Linked DNA regions of Saccharomyces cerevisiae S288C. The protein of the gene in region 2 interacts with the protein of the main gene of each other region in a biochemical or structural test. Each region holds a gene or a part of one and is shown on either strand. Other genes may lie near its edges.

The links. The genes of interacting proteins can lie anywhere in the genome.
Region 1: the proteins of FUS3 (region 2) and DIG2 form a complex in vitro, tested with the Saccharomyces cerevisiae proteins (6 studies listed by BioGRID, with this or other methods).
Region 3: the proteins of FUS3 (region 2) and STE5 form a complex in vitro, tested with the Saccharomyces cerevisiae proteins (6 studies listed by BioGRID, with this or other methods).

The regions. Positions count from the first base shown.
Region 1 is NC_001136.10:1,415,472-1,420,674, reverse strand, and holds DIG2 (Dig2p), read right to left. Parts: upstream 3,277-5,203; coding exon 2,305-3,276; downstream 1-2,304. Other genes in the region: U2-type spliceosomal complex subunit CWC21, read left to right, coding at 1-244; alkaline phosphatase PHO8, read left to right, coding at 425-2,125; PEX29 (Pex29p), read left to right, coding at 3,801-5,203. UniProt on the Saccharomyces cerevisiae protein: DIG2 and DIG1 are negative regulators of the filamentation and pheromone induced mating program. DIG1 and DIG2 inhibit the transcriptional activity of STE12 by direct protein-protein interaction.
Region 2 is NC_001134.8:188,484-195,234, reverse strand, and holds FUS3 (mitogen-activated serine/threonine-protein kinase FUS3), read right to left. Parts: upstream 2,785-6,751; coding exon 1,723-2,784; downstream 1-1,722. Other genes in the region: ACH1 (acetyl-CoA hydrolase), read right to left, coding at 1-1,113; PEP1 (type I sorting receptor), read left to right, coding at 3,652-6,751. UniProt on the Saccharomyces cerevisiae protein: Together with closely related KSS1, FUS3 is the final kinase in the signal transduction cascade regulating activation/repression of the mating and filamentation pathways, induced by pheromone and nitrogen/carbon limitation, respectively.
Region 3 is NC_001136.10:656,686-663,407, forward strand, and holds STE5 (Ste5p), read left to right. Parts: upstream 1-1,664; coding exon 1,665-4,418; downstream 4,419-6,722. Other genes in the region: ARX1 (putative hydrolase), read right to left, coding at 1-782; YDR102C (uncharacterized protein), read right to left, coding at 963-1,295; SPO71 (Spo71p), read right to left, coding at 4,488-6,722. UniProt on the Saccharomyces cerevisiae protein: Component of the pheromone signal transduction pathway. It mediates pheromone signals acting between STE20 and STE11. It is absolutely required for pheromone-induced transcription of FUS1. May play a role in cell-cycle arrest in response to pheromone.

The DNA of each region.
Region 1 (5,203 bases), on a different chromosome or scaffold from region 2:
CAGGCCTCTTGCTGTGCAGAAACAGATAGAGACTCATATGGAGAAACGTGAGATTGAAGTACAAGTTAGCGAGCTACGGGACCGACTGGAGGAGGAAGAAACGCTCTCGGAAGAGCAGATTGACAAGAAATGTGAAGCGTTGAGGGCAAAACTGACGAACGAGTGGCAAGAACAGCAGCGGATGTCCTCTTTGTACACCCCTCGTAAGGCGCGTCTAACGGAAGAGCAGCATCGACATGAATAGCAGCATTGACGATAGCGATAAGCTTCGCGCGTAGAGGAAAAGTAAAGGGATTTTAGTATATAAAGAAAGAAGTGTATCTAAACGTTTATATTTTTTCGTGCTCCACATTTTGCCAGCAAGTGGCTACATAAACATTTACATATCAGCATACGGGACATTATTTGAACGCGCATTAGCAGCATGATGACTCACACATTACCAAGCGAACAGACACGTCTTGTTCCTGGATCTGACTCGAGCTCTCGTCCTAAAAAGAGACGGATCTCGAAGAGATCAAAGATAATAGTATCCACTGTGGTCTGTATTGGTTTGTTGCTGGTTTTAGTGCAACTGGCATTTCCAAGCAGTTTTGCATTACGTTCTGCATCACACAAGAAGAAGAATGTCATATTCTTCGTGACGGATGGGATGGGACCTGCGTCTTTGTCCATGGCAAGATCATTCAACCAGCATGTTAATGATTTACCTATAGACGACATCCTGACACTTGACGAGCATTTTATCGGGTCTTCGAGAACAAGGTCCTCGGACTCACTAGTCACTGACTCAGCTGCGGGCGCCACCGCATTTGCATGTGCATTAAAGAGCTATAATGGGGCCATCGGTGTTGATCCGCATCACAGACCTTGTGGTACAGTGCTCGAGGCGGCTAAGTTAGCAGGTTATCTCACTGGGCTTGTTGTTACGACAAGAATCACAGATGCCACTCCGGCTTCATTCAGTTCACATGTTGATTACAGATGGCAGGAAGATCTTATCGCTACGCACCAGTTAGGCGAATATCCTCTGGGGAGAGTAGTAGACTTACTCATGGGTGGCGGCAGGAGCCATTTCTACCCTCAAGGCGAAAAGGCTTCTCCATATGGTCACCACGGTGCTAGAAAAGATGGAAGAGATTTAATCGATGAGGCTCAATCTAATGGCTGGCAGTACGTGGGTGACCGTAAAAATTTTGATTCTTTGTTGAAAAGCCACGGTGAAAACGTTACTTTACCTTTCTTGGGTCTCTTTGCAGATAACGACATTCCTTTTGAAATTGACAGAGATGAAAAGGAGTATCCTTCCCTTAAGGAACAAGTCAAGGTGGCTTTGGGTGCCTTGGAAAAAGCTTCCAATGAGGACAAAGATTCTAATGGGTTTTTCTTAATGGTGGAAGGCTCCAGAATTGATCATGCTGGTCACCAAAACGATCCAGCTTCGCAGGTAAGGGAGGTGTTGGCTTTCGATGAAGCATTCCAATACGTTTTGGAGTTTGCTGAAAATTCCGATACGGAGACTGTTTTGGTCTCTACGTCGGATCATGAAACGGGTGGTTTAGTCACTTCAAGACAAGTCACTGCTAGCTATCCTCAGTATGTCTGGTATCCACAGGTGCTCGCCAACGCCACCCATTCAGGTGAGTTTTTGAAAAGAAAACTAGTAGATTTTGTTCATGAGCATAAGGGCGCAAGCAGCAAAATAGAAAATTTCATCAAACATGAGATCCTGGAAAAAGATTTGGGTATTTACGATTACACGGATAGCGATTTAGAAACATTAATTCATTTGGATGACAACGCAAATGCTATCCAAGACAAACTGAATGACATGGTATCATTTAGGGCCCAAATTGGCTGGACCACGCATGGTCACAGCGCAGTCGACGTCAACATATATGCATACGCCAATAAGAAAGCTACATGGTCATATGTCTTGAACAATTTACAAGGCAATCACGAAAATACGGAAGTTGGCCAGTTCTTAGAAAACTTTTTAGAATTGAACCTGAACGAAGTCACTGATTTGATTAGGGACACCAAACACACATCAGATTTTGATGCTACAGAAATAGCTAGTGAAGTACAACATTATGACGAATACTACCATGAGTTGACCAACTGATCCTATCTAACTCTCCCTCTTTTTTCACATATTATTTAATACGTTATAATTTATTTGAATATATATATATATATATATATGTATATATACTAACCGCATGACACGTACTGTATCGCATTTCGTTTCGGAGTGCAGGCGAGTTTTAGGTGCATTCTATAGCGTGAAGAAGTGAAATCTCGTCATTTCTTCAAGTTATGCCATTCAGTCCAGATTGTTTCACATGCTTTCATATAGTCATTTTTGTCGTCGCGAACTTCAAATTTGAAAACATCATCATACAGAGAGATTTCTCCAATAATGATCCTTTCTTTGTCGTTGTCATCATCGGCATCGTCGTTAAGTGAAGCGCCCTCACTTAATGAATTTTTCGTGACAGAGCATTCAATGTCTTCATCAGTCTTACTTATGATTGGGTCTCCGTTGTGGTGTTTGGAGACAAAGGTTCTTTTTCTCGATGTCAAATCTTCCAAGTGTGGTGATCTACCAGCCAACTTCTTCCTCTTTGCATGGTAGTCGGCTGGTATTATACCATTATTATACAAGGGGCCGGGATACATCGGGGAATAATAGCCTTCGTATGCGTGCGTTTGTGTTGGAGTTGAAGAATATGGGTAGCATGGTACTGGTGGCAGTCCAGTATATGGATAAGGGTAGGTTGCTGTCATATATGAATTGGCCACTGAAGGATGATAATCTTGATTCGTAGGAGCCATCCTACCCATATATCTGACCCTAAGGCTATTTTTGTGCTGCGGAAATCTTGTTATGTTTGGTGGAGCACTTTTAGATCCATGCAAATGAGAAGATGCTTGTATATCGGAAAAATTTAGCGCTGGAGGTACCCTTTTCCTCTTTAAAGAATGATTCAGCGACTTAAAGGGTACGGTTTTCTCTGCTGGAGAAGTCGTAATGGTAGGAGGCTTACCACTATGATCTTCCTCTTTTTGCGACAGCCTAGATATGAGCAATTTTTGATTTTTTTCGATATCCCTGGATTTTTTGATCTTCGAAATCATTTTCTCACTCAATCTGTCTTCATCAAGCCCTGGAGATACTAACAGCATTCCCAGTTGCTGCAAATTCCTGGGATCATTTTCCTGAACAGTTGATATTTGCTCTTGCTGTGGGTCTTCTTGCTCTTCTTTATTCATAATTTTCCCTCTTTGCTTAAATATTCCTGCAGGCTTAACTATACCACATAAATACCACTGCAAGCAATAGAAATGAAAAATAACATTAATAACCAAAATTTAAATGGCTGTATGTTTATTGTTTATTTGATCTGCACATTATGTAATTATTGATAATTTAATAGACGTGTCCGCCGGGTGATGAAGCTGTGACATATCACAATTTTATGTGTACCTGTTGTATGTATACGCTCTAATGTCCGATATCATCATACGTGCATCACTTTGTAGCCTTCTAGGATGGCGTCTAGGTGAATACCGCCGTAGTGTTTAGGAAACTAATGTTATGGGTGGTTGTTGTTTCACTATCCAGTAATACTTTTGTGGTGAACTTAAGAAGCTTAGGGGTTACCCCTTCTTCTTGAACTAATTTTAAGAAATAACAACGAGGAATAGTGTGTATTTTTAATTACTGATCAGGCCGCATGAATATACTCACCTGTATACGTAGCAAAATTTCAGTCTCCTACTGTATATACGTCTAGATGGACTCGGTGACAAATTTTTTCTGGAATGACACCTATAATGCTGGTACTCCAACTAGATCAACTCTCAAGGGGAAGAAAGTGCAAAATGGCATAGATGGAAAAAGTCAGGCAAAGAAAGAGAGCATATCTAGTGGTTCTAGAACTAGTGATCCTACACGTGGTAGTCTGCCATCTTCCAGTGGACAGCCAACTAGTGGTGGCGGTTTTCCCTCGACATCAAACATCCAAAAGATGATGGCAGATACCCTGGTAGAGAAGATAATCAAAATGGCATTACCACCATCTTCCAAAACGGCTGTTGATACAATTCACCATCGTATGGTTGCTGGTAAAGAAAGGCCTAAGCTGTCTGTGCAGATCACGAGTAGGAATTTTATACAGATGAACTCGAGACTAGGGGTACCATTCATGATTATGGATGAATTAATAAAGATATTAAACTGGACTAACCCAGCGTATACAGTATCTATCATGTTCTTATACACGCTCATTATATTGAAACCTTTTCAAATGCTTTCTTCGCTCCCTATATTCTATTTGTTATTCTGCGTAATGGTCCCGCAATACCTTTACATTCATAAGCCAAACCCTACAAGCTATCTAGATAATAATCAAACACCAGCACAAGGCCCACCTTTGCGAAGACCTGAGGTTCCTAAACCAGTCCCTGAACTGAGCCAAGAATTTGTCTTAAACCTCACGGATTTACAAAACCATATGCTGCTATATGTTAAATTCTACGATTTTACTTTACTCATATTACAAAAGTTTGCATTCTTCACCAACGAGGCTATTTCGTCGTTTTATTTTATTGTATTGTTAATAATAGCAACATTAAATTTTCTGTACATGGATAAATTTATCAAGCTCATTCCAATGAGACCCGTACTGATACTGCTAGGTTGGGGTTTTTTTATTGCCTCGCATCCGTCCAATCGTGAATATTTGTTGACTAAATTGAATTCGGAGGAGACAAGATTAAAAACTTTGACTATAAGTACTAATCTGGAATCTAAGATTTTGCAGCATTTGAAACTCATTGAGGCTAGGGAGCACCGACTTGTTATGATCTTTGAGATCCAAAAGTATCTTCCTGAATACAAAGAATGGCGCCCAGTTGGATTCTCTGATGACGATTATTCTCTTTTCTCTAGTTTGAGAATATACCAGAGGCGTATTGAGGAAAATTCAGTGAAGTCATTAGAAGAAATTGAGCCACCTAAGGATTGGGAATGGGAAGCCAATTCTCATTGGGTGCTTGATTTGGATCCAAAAGAATGGGTAGAGGACGAATTTATTCAGTATGTCGAGATAGATTCAGAAACAAAATGGGTCTATGACCTCAATCTTGATGGACAAAGGGGCTCATATAGAAGGCGAATGTGGACCAACAGTTGCGT
Region 2 (6,751 bases):
TGGGGTATTCATGGCGATGACACCCAATCTACGGATCATTTCCGGATTGTTCGAGACAACTTGAGATCTCAAACACAATCTGTGTTTGAAATTTTCCCAGTTTGCAAAGGCTCTGTCGAAACCCTTTTCAGTCAATCTCACGGAAGTAGCAGTGGCGTAGTCCAAAGATCCGTTCTCGAAAAGATCCAAGAACGAGTCCTGCAGCACTTCCGTCCATACAGTCAAGTGCTTGAATTGGGCGCCAGCAAGCCCTTCAATGACAGCGTTAGCAATGTTACCTATACCACTTTGTAAAGGCAGCAGGTTTTCAGGTAGCCTACCATGTTTTACCTCGTTTCTGAAAAACTCGACCAAATGACCTGCAATAGCCCTGGACATGTCGTCAGAGGGCGTATTTGGTGGGACCTGGTCCCTCATGGTGGACTCCACAATCGCAACAACCTTTTCAGGATCAACCGGGATGGAGTCAACACCACACTTGTCGTCCACTTTCAGATATGGGTATGGTTTCCTGAAAGGTGGGTTCACGGGCATGTCTATATCGTGAATACCCTCGAACGAAGGCGTAGCCGTGTTAACCTCAATAATCACTTTATCACTGACTGTAATGAATTCTGGAGAACCACCGACAGAGGGACCTGGGACGATAGACCCGTCCTCTTTAATGGCCGTTGCCTCGATTATAGTATAATCAAGGATTTTGTTGTCTTTTCTTTCCCTGGTGTAGAACCCGTATGTCAGATCCTGAGGGAACATGGACAGATGTTTATCAAAGAACTCAATTCTACCCTGGTTAATTGCCTTTGCAATGGGTTTCCCTACTTGATGAGGGGCTCTCTTAATGATCATGTCGTGTTCAGCCCAACGGTTTTCCTCTGGACCAGCAGAAGCTCCAACAAAAAGGTTGAATCTCAACTTCCCTTGTAAATTGTTCTTCTCCACGTGATCTATCAGTGCCTCCGGCACTGCCTTGGGAGTACCCACTCCTGTAAAACCGGACCACCCAAGGTACTGACCATTCTTGAACAATGGAATAAGCTCGTGAGCTTCCTTAACTTTTTTCAGATAGGGAGCATACCTAACTCTCTGCTTTAACAAATTAGAAATTGTCATTTTAGTGCAATATGTGAAAAAGAAAAAAAGAAATGTGTTGTTTGTTTTGCCGCTATTGTCTAGTAAGACGGTCTCTTGCTGCTTTGTGTGCTAATGTAAGCCCGGTGGGCACAAGACAAAAGAAGGGGTAGAACACATCTAACGTCTATATATACACAGCAACTTGATTACACATTTGCTCCAGCAAGCGCTTACCGTCCACAATACAGTGGTCATCCATACAATCACTACTTTGGTAGTTTGACGCTCCGATGGGATTGGCTGTTGCGGATGTGGTTGAGGGCGTTGTCCTCGAGGCCAATCAGCAGCGCGCATTGCCCGCCTTTGGCCCGGCGGGCCGCGCGTCGCAGGGGATGATGCTAGTCACCTATATGGATCACCCCTTGTGGTTCTTCATTTTTTTTTTCTTCAATTAACAGCCGCCGACGGCCCGTGGCGCGCGATCACGGAGTTGCGTAACTGCTCCCCTTAGCTCCATATAAGTATTGTCCTTTTATACGTCCGCGTCCTCAGCGGCTAATACGTATGTCATATGTACATATGTATATGTGTACGTATATGTATATGTATACATTGTTCTTCGGGTTGATATTTTAATGATAATGATGGCTAACTAAATATTTCGTTCCAAATGAGTTTCTTGAGGTCTTTCGTCGTTAGTGCCTCCTTGTAGTGATCAAACTCGAAGAAGCTGGGTGGGATGGGTTCGCCTTCAGGTTCGTCGTTTGGATCGTGGTATGTTTGCAAATACGGATGCTCCAGTGCCTCCTTAGCAGTAATCCTCTTCGCAGGGTCAAAAACAAGCATACGCTGTAAAAGATCTATGCCTTTCGGGTTGACTCGAGGGAACATCTTCTCCAGTGGCGCGGCAGGGTACATGGGAAGCGACTTTATGTACTCTCTAGCCCTGGGTGACTCTATACACCGCAAATCATTATCTGAGTGAGGTGTACCGATGATACCGAATATCAGTAGTAGTTGATGGCGATAATCTCTGCCAGGGAAGATTGGCCGTCTTAAGAAAAGTTCAGCGAGAATACATCCGCAGGACCACACGTCCATGGCCCTTGAGTATTTGGCAGAGGTTAACATCACCTCTGGCGCCCTGTACCAACGTGTGGCCACATACTCGGTCATGCCGCTTTGCTGACCTGTGGGCTCTGAATTGTCCGCGGCTGACTCGTCAATGATTCTTGCTAAACCGAAATCACATACTTTCAAGTCACAGTTGGAGTTTATGAGAAGGTTGGAGGGCTTTAAATCACGATGGATGACGTTCGAACCATGCAGCACTTTCACTGCTCTCAAGGTTTGGTATATAAAATATTGTATATGATCGTCACTCAGCATCTGGGTGGAGATTACACGGTGTAAATCTGTCTGCATTAGCTCTTGAATTATGTAGACCTCATTGAAGTTTTCGAACGAGTCAGGGCGTTGAATGTTGAAGATTGTTATGATATTTTCGTGCTTGAAGTGCTTCAGGATCTTTATTTCACGCAGCGTACGTAATGCGAACAAAGGCTTATCGAATGGTTCGATCTTTTTTATTGCCACGATTTCTCCCGTGGGCTTATGCGTTGCAGAACATACCACACCGTATGCACCCTCTCCCAGTAACGACTTCAACTGGAAGTCACTGGATATATTGTATACAATTCTCTTTGGCATATTATTTTCCTTTCTTTTTCTCTGCCTTATTTCCTTGTAGTTCAAACGAACTAGCTATTAGAAGAAAGAAAATGATTACAACGTATATATAGTTTCTGAGAGGCAAGAGTAAAAAGTTATGATATATTAGTATGTTGCTTTTCTGCAATTGTTTCAATGCCCTGTAAAAAACCGCATCATCTAAAATCTGAGAGAATGCAGAAACAAAAAAAAAAAAAGTAAAAATTTCGAGTAAAAGAATTTTGAGTTCCAGGGTGAAACAGATCTAAAACTCAAGAGCTTATGCATTGCTTGTAGGTACATCACATTTTACTTCAGAAAGATAAAAGAGTATGTGAAAGTAAACTGCCCTCTCCAGTTAACTCTTCCCAAACTAAAAAGTATCCGCCTGTGCGGACTACAAGCACTACCGCCCCTTGAATGAACACCAAAAGATGTGTGTAAGTTAAAAAGTCCGAACGAATTTATCCTTATGTATGTTCTTTTGAACGTCAAGTAGTCAATCTCTCCAACTACTCGGGTCTTTATATGGATCGCGTGATGTTTTAAGCCTTCTTTCCTCTAGTTTAGTGCAGTCGCTGCTTTTTTCTCGGGCTGAGTACGGCGAAAAGAAGGAAAAACCAAGGTCAAAAAATAACCTCTAAATAACAGCATGATGCAACAGCTCAAAAGACCTCTCAAGAAGCACAAAAAAAGGAGGCGAGTAGGTGGTACTATTTCATTCTACTAAGATCTTTAAAGCAATTCCTTTCCGGTTTTTTTCTCAACTACCGTACTCTTTTTCCTTTTTTATTTTGCCCTTAGATTGTATTATAAAGCTCTGTATATCTGGAAAAGCCCTGAAGTGTCCAGTAGTCATCACACGTTATGATATTACTTCATTTTGTCTATTCTCTTTGGGCCTTACTTCTCATTCCTTTAACTAATGCCGAAGAATTCACCCCCAAAGTGACAAAGACTATCGCGCAAGATTCATTTGATATATTAAGCTTTGATGATTCCAACACTTTAATTAGAAAACAAGACACCTCCGTTACTATAAGCTTTGACGATGGTGAAACATGGGAAAAAGTTGAAGGCATTGAAGGCGAAATCACTTGGATATACATCGACCCCTTCAATAGACATGACAGAGCCGTTGCAACGGCAATGAATGGGTCGTACCTTTATATAACCAATGATCAAGGTAAGTCATGGGAGCGTATAACGCTACCTGACTCCGGAGAAAGTATTTCACCTCGTGAATGCTATATAGAAACCCATCCCTTGAATAAGAACTATTTTCTTGCAAAGTGCAACTATTGTGAGAAAACAGAAGTAAACAATGACAATGAAGAGAATTCGGGGGACGAAGAGGGACAATTTGAAATATTTAATATTACACGTTGCACAGACAAGGTTTTTGCAAGTAATGATGGTGGAAAATCCTTTTCTGAGATCAAGTCTTCTCTAGAAAGGAACGAAAATAGTCCTATCAGCATTTCTGATTGTGGCTTTGCCAAGACCAGCAAAGATTCTGACCTTGAAAGTAGTGATACCTCAATAATCTGTCTTTTTCAAAATATGCAGCTTATTATGGATGAGTTTAGTTCTCCTTACACCGAAAGTAAATTGGTCCTAACTACGGACTGGGGCAAATCACTAAAAGAATTTGACCAATTTAAAGATAAGGTCGTCAATGGTTACAGGATATTGAAATCTCACATGGTTGTCTTAACCCAGGGCGACAGATATAATGATATGTCTTCCATGGATGTGTGGGTATCAAATGATCTGTCAAACTTTAAAATGGCTTACATGCCTACTCAGTTAAGGCATTCTATGCAAGGAGAAATATATGAGGACGCTATGGGAAGAATTATCTTGCCCATGAGTAGGGAAAGAAGTGATCAAGAGGAGGATAAGGGCATCGTGTCTGAAATTTTAATTTCCGACTCACAAGGGTTAAAATTTTCCCCCATCCCATGGACCGCAAATGAGGTGTTTGGTTATATTAATTTTTATCAACCTACTTACTTGAAAGGAACGATGATTGCCTCACTTTACCCTCTATCTAGGCGTCGTAACCGTAAAGGAAAAGCCAAAGGAGTAAAGAGTAAGGGGGTAACCAAAATATCTGTTGATAATGGCCTCACATGGACAATGTTAAAAGTTGTTGATCCAGATAACGCAGACTCATTCGACTGTGATATTACTGATTTTGAGAATTGTTCGCTTCAAAATATGTTTTACACACGGGAGGGTTCCACTCCAACCGCCGGAATTCTAATGACAACAGGTATTGTTGGCGATGGTAGTGTCTTCGACTGGGGAGATCAAAGAACCTTTATTTCTAGGGATGGTGGCTTAACATGGAAACTCGCCTTTGATTTTCCTTGTTTATACGCTGTTGGTGATTACGGAAATGTTATTGTGGCTATACCGTATAATGCGGATGAAGACGACGATCCTCAATCCGAATTTTATTACTCTTTAGACCAAGGTAAAACTTGGACCGAATATCAGCTAGAAACTACTATCTACCCAAATGAAGTAATGAATACAACGCCCGACGGATCTGGAGCTAAATTTATTCTAAATGGGTTTACTTTGGCGCATATGGATGGTACAACGAATTTCATCTATGCAATTGATTTTTCAACAGCCTTTAATGATAAGACATGCGAAGAAAATGATTTCGAGGATTGGAATTTAGCTGAGGGGAAGTGTGTCAATGGAGTCAAGTACAAGATCAGAAGAAGAAAACAGGACGCTCAGTGCTTGGTGAAGAAAGTTTTTGAAGACTTACAATTATTTGAGACTGCTTGTGACAAGTGTACCGAGGCTGATTACGAATGCGCGTTTGAATTTGTTAGGGACGCGACCGGGAAATGCGTACCAGACTACAACCTAATCGTTCTCTCTGACGTATGTGATAAGACAAAGAAAAAAACTGTGCCTGTAAAACCATTGCAACTAGTTAAAGGTGATAAATGTAAAAAACCAATGACAGTCAAATCAGTGGATATTTCGTGTGAGGGAGTTCCAAAGAAGGGAACGAATGATAAAGAAATAGTGGTTACAGAAAACAAATTTGATTTCAAGATTCAATTCTATCAATACTTTGACACAGTCACCGACGAATCCCTCCTCATGATCAATTCAAGAGGAGAAGCTTATATATCTCATGATGGTGGACAAACAATAAAAAGGTTCGACAGTAATGGTGAAACAATTATTGAAGTTGTGTTTAATCCATACTACAATTCTTCAGCTTATCTGTTTGGTTCCAAAGGTAGCATTTTCTCTACCCATGATAGGGGATACTCTTTTATGACTGCTAAATTGCCCGAGGCTAGGCAGTTAGGTATGCCATTAGACTTTAACGCTAAGGCACAGGATACATTTATCTATTATGGTGGTAAGAATTGTGAGTCAATCTTAAGTCCGGAATGTCATGCGGTAGCATACCTGACCAATGATGGGGGCGAAACGTTTACGGAAATGCTTGATAATGCAATTCATTGTGAGTTTGCGGGCTCACTTTTCAAATATCCGTCAAATGAGGATATGGTTATGTGTCAAGTGAAGGAAAAGTCTTCGCAGACAAGAAGCTTAGTTTCTTCTACTGATTTTTTCCAGGATGATAAAAATACCGTCTTTGAAAATATTATCGGCTACTTATCCACTGGTGGCTATATCATCGTTGCTGTTCCTCATGAGAACAACGAATTGAGAGCATACGTAACTATCGATGGTACTGAGTTTGCCGAGGCAAAATTCCCATATGATGAAGATGTTGGGAAGCAAGAGGCATTCACTATATTAGAGTCTGAGAAAGGATCGATATTCTTACATTTAGCAACAAACTTAGTACCAGGACGCGATTTTGGCAATCTTTTGAAATCCAACTCAAATGGTACTTCTTTTGTCACGTTGGAGCATGCCGTTAATAGAAACACATTCGGCTATGTTGACTTTGAAAAAA
Region 3 (6,722 bases), on a different chromosome or scaffold from region 2:
TCGGCAACAATACCTTCGTTTTGGCCTGCCAGGAATCTTCTAATCCTTCTTACACGAGAACCAGGAACAACGCCACAGTTATAAGATCTGGCAATAGTATCCACTATAGTTCTAATCAATTGGCCTGTGATACCACTTGAAGTTCCTCCCAGTGAGGCAGGAAGCTTTTCTGGAGTCAGAGCACAGGCTAATAAAGCAACAACTGTTTCCATAGCAATGTGAGCAGCAGCTACAGCATCCGCTTTACCACCTAGTAGTGGCCCAGTGGGTTGAAGAATAGGTTTGGTTTCATCAACGGGGTAAATAACCATAGTATGAGAAACTTCAGAGGTGTAACCATCAATATGAACACCTAGTGTAATCTTGACTAAATCCCCCGGTCTCAAAGTCCCAGTGACAGATGATGCAAAAGTGGAGTCTTTCCCCTTATTCCAGTTTAACAAATTTTGAGTATCATCTATTTCGGGGCACCATCCACCAGAAATTTGGTCGATATCAATAGTGGTTGGAATGGCAATACCTCTTTCATTAACTTTGTTTTTATAATATTGTTCCAACCGGGTCAAAATAAAAGAATCGGTAAGCAAACATAGCTCTGGCACGGTTAATTGGCGCTGTGTGGTCTTAGAGTGATATGAATCATTGATCAAAGAAGTAACATATTTCAAAGCAGTTTGTGCGATTTGTCCAGCAGTTCTGTATTTGTTCAAGACCGATTCCTGTAGAATATTTTTGTCCTTTAGCAAAATCTGAGTATCCTCGTGGGAGATAGCTAGAGCCATGATAGTTTTAGCAATATTAGTCGGGTCGGGTTTTTTCTTAAAAGTATTTTGAATAACACGATGCTTTAGCTCATCTCATCTCTTCTGCTGAAATTTTTCTTTACTTCGGTAAAATTTTTTCAGAAAGCAAAAAAAGCTTCACAGAGGCATGACCCTCTCCGGGTAAAAAAAAGCTTAGGGTTACCGGCCTGTCATTTTTAGGGCATTATCAATTTTTTGCCATCTAGTTGCAACTATAATAATACAGTATGAATTGCACGAAAGAGCAGTCAATGTAAATTCACGAAGTGACTGACAGAATACTGACATCAGCTGATTTCTCATAGAGCTGTTTCTCTGATAACACGTTGTTTGAACATCGACAAGATGAAAATCTAGAAGTATCAAGTTTCCTTTAAAGGGATATATAACAGATTCTAAAACTGACAGAAATATTTCGAGTGAAGAAGAAGCGTTAAATATTGGATCTTTCCGCAGTTCTACTCTGATACATTTTTGAAGTAGGAGAGTCATTTAGAAGGCGTATTGCTCAATAGTAGAAAGCAGGCCTGTGCACATGAATTAATTAAAAAATATAAAGGTAGTGATTAGACGACACATGTCCATAGGTAACCTGTCATAATTTTGAACAATTTCCCTTCTTTTCTTTTTTTTTTTTGGGTGCGGCGATATGTAGCTTGTTAATTTACACATCATGTACTTTTCTGCATCAAAATATGAAAGGCGATAGTAGCTAAAGAAAATACCGAGAATTTCCTCGAAAAGTTGACGACAAAAGAAAGGCATAAAAAAGTAATTTGAAAATATTTTAAAACTGTTTTAACCCATCTAGCATCCGCGCTAAAAAAGGAAGATACAGGATACAGCGGAAACAACTTTTAAATGATGGAAACTCCTACAGACAATATAGTTTCCCCTTTTCACAATTTTGGTAGCTCGACACAATATAGTGGTACCTTGTCGAGAACTCCCAACCAAATAATAGAGCTAGAGAAGCCCAGTACTCTATCCCCATTGTCAAGAGGAAAAAAATGGACGGAAAAGTTAGCCAGGTTCCAAAGAAGTAGTGCTAAAAAGAAAAGATTCTCACCTTCTCCTATTTCCTCCTCTACATTTTCGTTCTCACCCAAATCTAGGGTCACTTCTTCAAACTCTTCTGGCAATGAAGACGGTAACCTAATGAATACACCTTCTACGGTTTCCACTGATTATTTGCCACAACACCCTCACAGAACATCGTCTTTGCCAAGACCTAATTCCAATCTCTTTCACGCAAGTAATAGTAACCTATCCCGAGCAAATGAGCCCCCAAGGGCCGAAAATTTATCAGATAATATACCACCCAAGGTCGCTCCATTTGGCTATCCAATACAAAGAACCTCTATTAAAAAATCCTTTTTGAATGCTTCTTGTACGTTATGTGACGAGCCTATTTCTAACAGAAGAAAGGGAGAGAAAATTATAGAGCTTGCATGTGGCCACTTAAGTCACCAAGAATGTCTTATTATCTCTTTTGGCACCACTTCAAAGGCAGACGTTCGTGCGCTATTTCCTTTTTGTACCAAATGTAAAAAAGATACTAACAAAGCCGTTCAATGCATTCCAGAAAATGATGAACTAAAGGATATTCTAATTTCTGATTTTTTGATTCATAAGATTCCTGATTCTGAGTTATCAATCACACCTCAGTCCCGCTTTCCTCCTTATTCACCACTCTTGCCTCCTTTTGGGTTATCCTATACACCTGTTGAAAGACAAACGATATATTCTCAAGCTCCAAGTCTAAACCCAAATCTCATATTGGCTGCACCCCCCAAGGAAAGAAACCAAATTCCACAAAAAAAATCAAACTATACATTTTTACATTCACCCCTGGGGCACAGAAGAATTCCGTCCGGAGCAAACTCTATCTTAGCAGACACCTCTGTAGCGTTGTCAGCTAATGATTCTATTTCTGCTGTTTCCAATTCGGTAAGAGCAAAGGATGACGAAACCAAAACAACGTTGCCGCTGTTAAGGTCATATTTTATTCAAATTCTTTTGAACAATTTCCAGGAAGAATTGCAGGATTGGAGAATAGACGGGGACTATGGATTACTAAGGTTGGTAGACAAATTGATGATTTCCAAAGATGGTCAGAGATATATACAATGCTGGTGTTTCTTATTTGAAGACGCATTTGTAATAGCAGAAGTGGATAACGATGTTGATGTTTTGGAAATTAGACTAAAGAATTTAGAAGTATTTACACCTATTGCCAACTTGAGAATGACTACACTCGAAGCTTCAGTACTCAAATGCACCTTAAATAAACAACATTGCGCCGATTTATCAGATCTTTACATTGTTCAGAATATAAATTCTGACGAAAGCACAACTGTACAGAAATGGATATCAGGTATATTGAATCAGGATTTTGTATTCAATGAGGACAATATCACTTCGACCCTGCCTATTCTTCCCATTATAAAGAACTTTTCAAAAGATGTTGGTAATGGTAGGCACGAGACGAGTACCTTTCTAGGTTTAATCAATCCTAACAAAGTTGTTGAAGTTGGAAATGTGCACGATAATGATACTGTAATCATAAGGAGGGGATTCACCTTAAATTCAGGAGAATGTTCTAGGCAGAGTACTGTCGACAGTATACAATCTGTTCTAACCACGATAAGCTCAATTCTTTCCCTTAAACGAGAAAAACCTGATAATTTGGCAATAATCTTACAGATCGATTTTACGAAATTGAAGGAAGAAGACAGTTTAATTGTTGTTTATAACAGTCTAAAAGCTTTAACCATTAAATTTGCGCGTTTGCAGTTTTGTTTCGTTGATCGAAATAATTATGTTCTGGACTATGGATCGGTATTACACAAGATAGATTCACTAGATTCCATCTCAAATCTCAAATCAAAGAGTTCCTCGACACAATTTTCACCTATTTGGTTGAAAAATACTCTATATCCCGAAAATATTCATGAACATTTGGGTATTGTTGCTGTATCAAATAGTAATATGGAAGCAAAAAAATCCATACTATTTCAAGATTACAGATGCTTTACAAGTTTTGGAAGAAGAAGGCCCAATGAATTGAAGATTAAGGTGGGCTATTTGAACGTTGACTACAGTGATAAAATTGATGAACTAGTCGAGGCCAGCTCCTGGACTTTTGTTTTAGAAACTCTTTGCTACAGTTTCGGTCTAAGTTTTGATGAACATGATGACGATGACGAAGAGGATAATGATGATTCGACCGATAATGAACTTGATAATAGTTCAGGATCACTGTCGGATGCTGAATCTACAACTACTATTCATATTGATTCTCCATTTGATAATGAAAATGCTACCGCAAATATGGTGAATGACAGAAACCTTCTCACTGAGGGTGAACATAGCAATATAGAAAACTTAGAAACTGTCGCTTCTTCAGTACAGCCAGCTCTGATTCCTAATATTAGATTTTCACTTCATTCTGAGGAGGAAGGTACTAATGAAAATGAAAATGAAAATGATATGCCAGTATTATTACTTAGTGATATGGATAAAGGAATCGATGGCATAACCAGACGCAGTTCATTCTCGAGTCTTATAGAGAGCGGTAATAACAACTGTCCCCTCCATATGGATTATATATAGAGTATACACTAAATTTTATGCAATAATAAAAAGAAAGCATCCCGCCAAACGTTTCGTAACTACATATTGTTACATAGTTTGATTCCGTGAATTTGAAGTGGACGCAGTTCTTCTTAGTCTTTCAAGTTCATAGTAAATAGACATTACCCAAAGATCTCTTTCCTGTCTTGATCTTGCCATGAAAACCATTGACTTGCCGCTCACACCTAACTTTTTAGTGAAATGGATCTTATCTGTGTTACTTGGAACATTAGAGTTATTCAAGTCAGCTTCCGGAGCAGAAGGTGGGTCAATATTATTATCTTGTCTACCATAATCTTGCGTATATTGCTTTTCATTCCCTTTCTTCTGTAAGCGATTGCTAGAAAGGGCACGCCTTGTTCCAAACCAAAGCGTAAAGCATCGCGAACTCTCGTCTTCTACAGATCGCCATCCGTCCCCATAAACTCGTGGGAGAGCGTGGGATCCATAGTTTATTTCGTCAAAAGTACGATCTCTCTGCAGAAGGTCTAGTTCTGTTGTGGTCCCAGAGTATAGGTAGCAATCGTCAATCGGAATGGTTACATAATGAGCATACTCCAAAACTTCCTTAGCAAAACCTGTGGTTGATCTATGAAAGCAGTGGAACAGTACAATAAAACCTGATATCAAAACGACGTAGTACTTCGAGAAAACAGAATGCTTGTGCGGCTTTTGATATAAAGGTCCCTTTTGAATTAACGGCCTACTTAATGATATTCCATTTGCATTAAAGGTTTGCTCATCTGCACGCCCATGTTCTACGATCCAGCGCAATGTATTCTCACCAATTTTTGTTTCCTCTTCTCCATTTAGCATCAAAAGACCTGCATTTGAACGCCTTATTTTTAAAAGCCTCTCCGTATCTTCCCTTTGCTTGTTTTTCCAATAGGATATCATTTGTTTCAGCTTTATGACCCACTCTTCAGCAACTGTTGCTGATGTAGCAAGCAGCTTCAAGAGGAGTCCATTTGAGGTTTCTATATTTATTACGGACCGTGAAACATCATCAATCTCGTAGTTTCTATGCCAAAAGATTTCACTAGCTTCCTTGTAAACCCCATATTTTATTTTGTCTGCTTCGTAATCAGTCCTTGTTCCTTGATATATATCTTTCACCTCAGTTAGGTCAATCACATTGTCCGTTTTTAGTATTTGATCAATCCTTCTATGAAAACAATGGAAAGCATAGAAATCTCTGGAATCATATTCACTTTGGGTCGTTTGACAGTTCATCCACTCGATGTGATCATTTGTGTCTAAGGGATAAGGTTGTTGCTCGTAAACCTCTGGAATTTTCTTCCACTGTTTCCAAATTTCTTCTTTTTCTATTTCTGTGCTAGTGTCGTCAATCATCGAATCTATAGGCAATGGTGGGTTTGCTCTATATGCTTTCATCGAAAAAAGCAAATTCTCACACGTGAAGAAGTAAGCTGTTGAAATACTATATTTACCAAAATTTGTCCTCGCAGAGCCATACTTGTCAGTCAATCTTATTAAAAAACCTTCAATAGGTGTTGGTTCTTTCAGACATTTTCCTTCTAAAGATTTTGTTTCCCTTAAACGATTCGCAATTGGCCTGTACTGGATTAGGTGAGATTGACAAAATGCAAAAATTCCAGTTACCAGAGAATCTTCATCACATGGAATCCACTCCAATCTATCATATCTTTTCAGGGCACATCCTAGTACAGGATTTTCTGTATCCCATTTTCTAATCAGATAGTCATAATGCGCCAATTTTAATTTCTCCAAAATAGCAACTGTGAAATATCGTAAAATGGGATGCTGGAAAATTTTATAACCTCTTTGAAGAAAACATATTTTTAATCTATCTTTTTCCTGCTTCCCTAAATCTATTAGCTTTTGGAATATAATTTCATTCAAGTTTATTTTTATCGAGATCTCAGTTAATGGAATTTTCAAGTTGATGGCAGGTGTAAATAGTTGTCGGTCCAAAGATTCTAGTAGAAATTTGTACCATCTACCAGACGAACGAATACTGCTGCATCTTAAGATAAAAATTTTAATGGGGGAATAGTGTTTTAATTCGTCCTTCTTTTCAATACTCTCGTCTATAAACCCACCTAACCGCTTATCAGGCTTTTGTATGGATATAGTTTTGTCTAGAGAGCTGTAGAATTTTACAATACAATTTCTTGAAAGAAAAAAATCCAACGGGTTGCGGTGATACTTTGTAGCTATGGAACTGATATCTTCGATTTCTGGGATATGACGATGACGATAGAACTGTAAAAGTATCGGGGGATCGAATCTTCCCGTGGA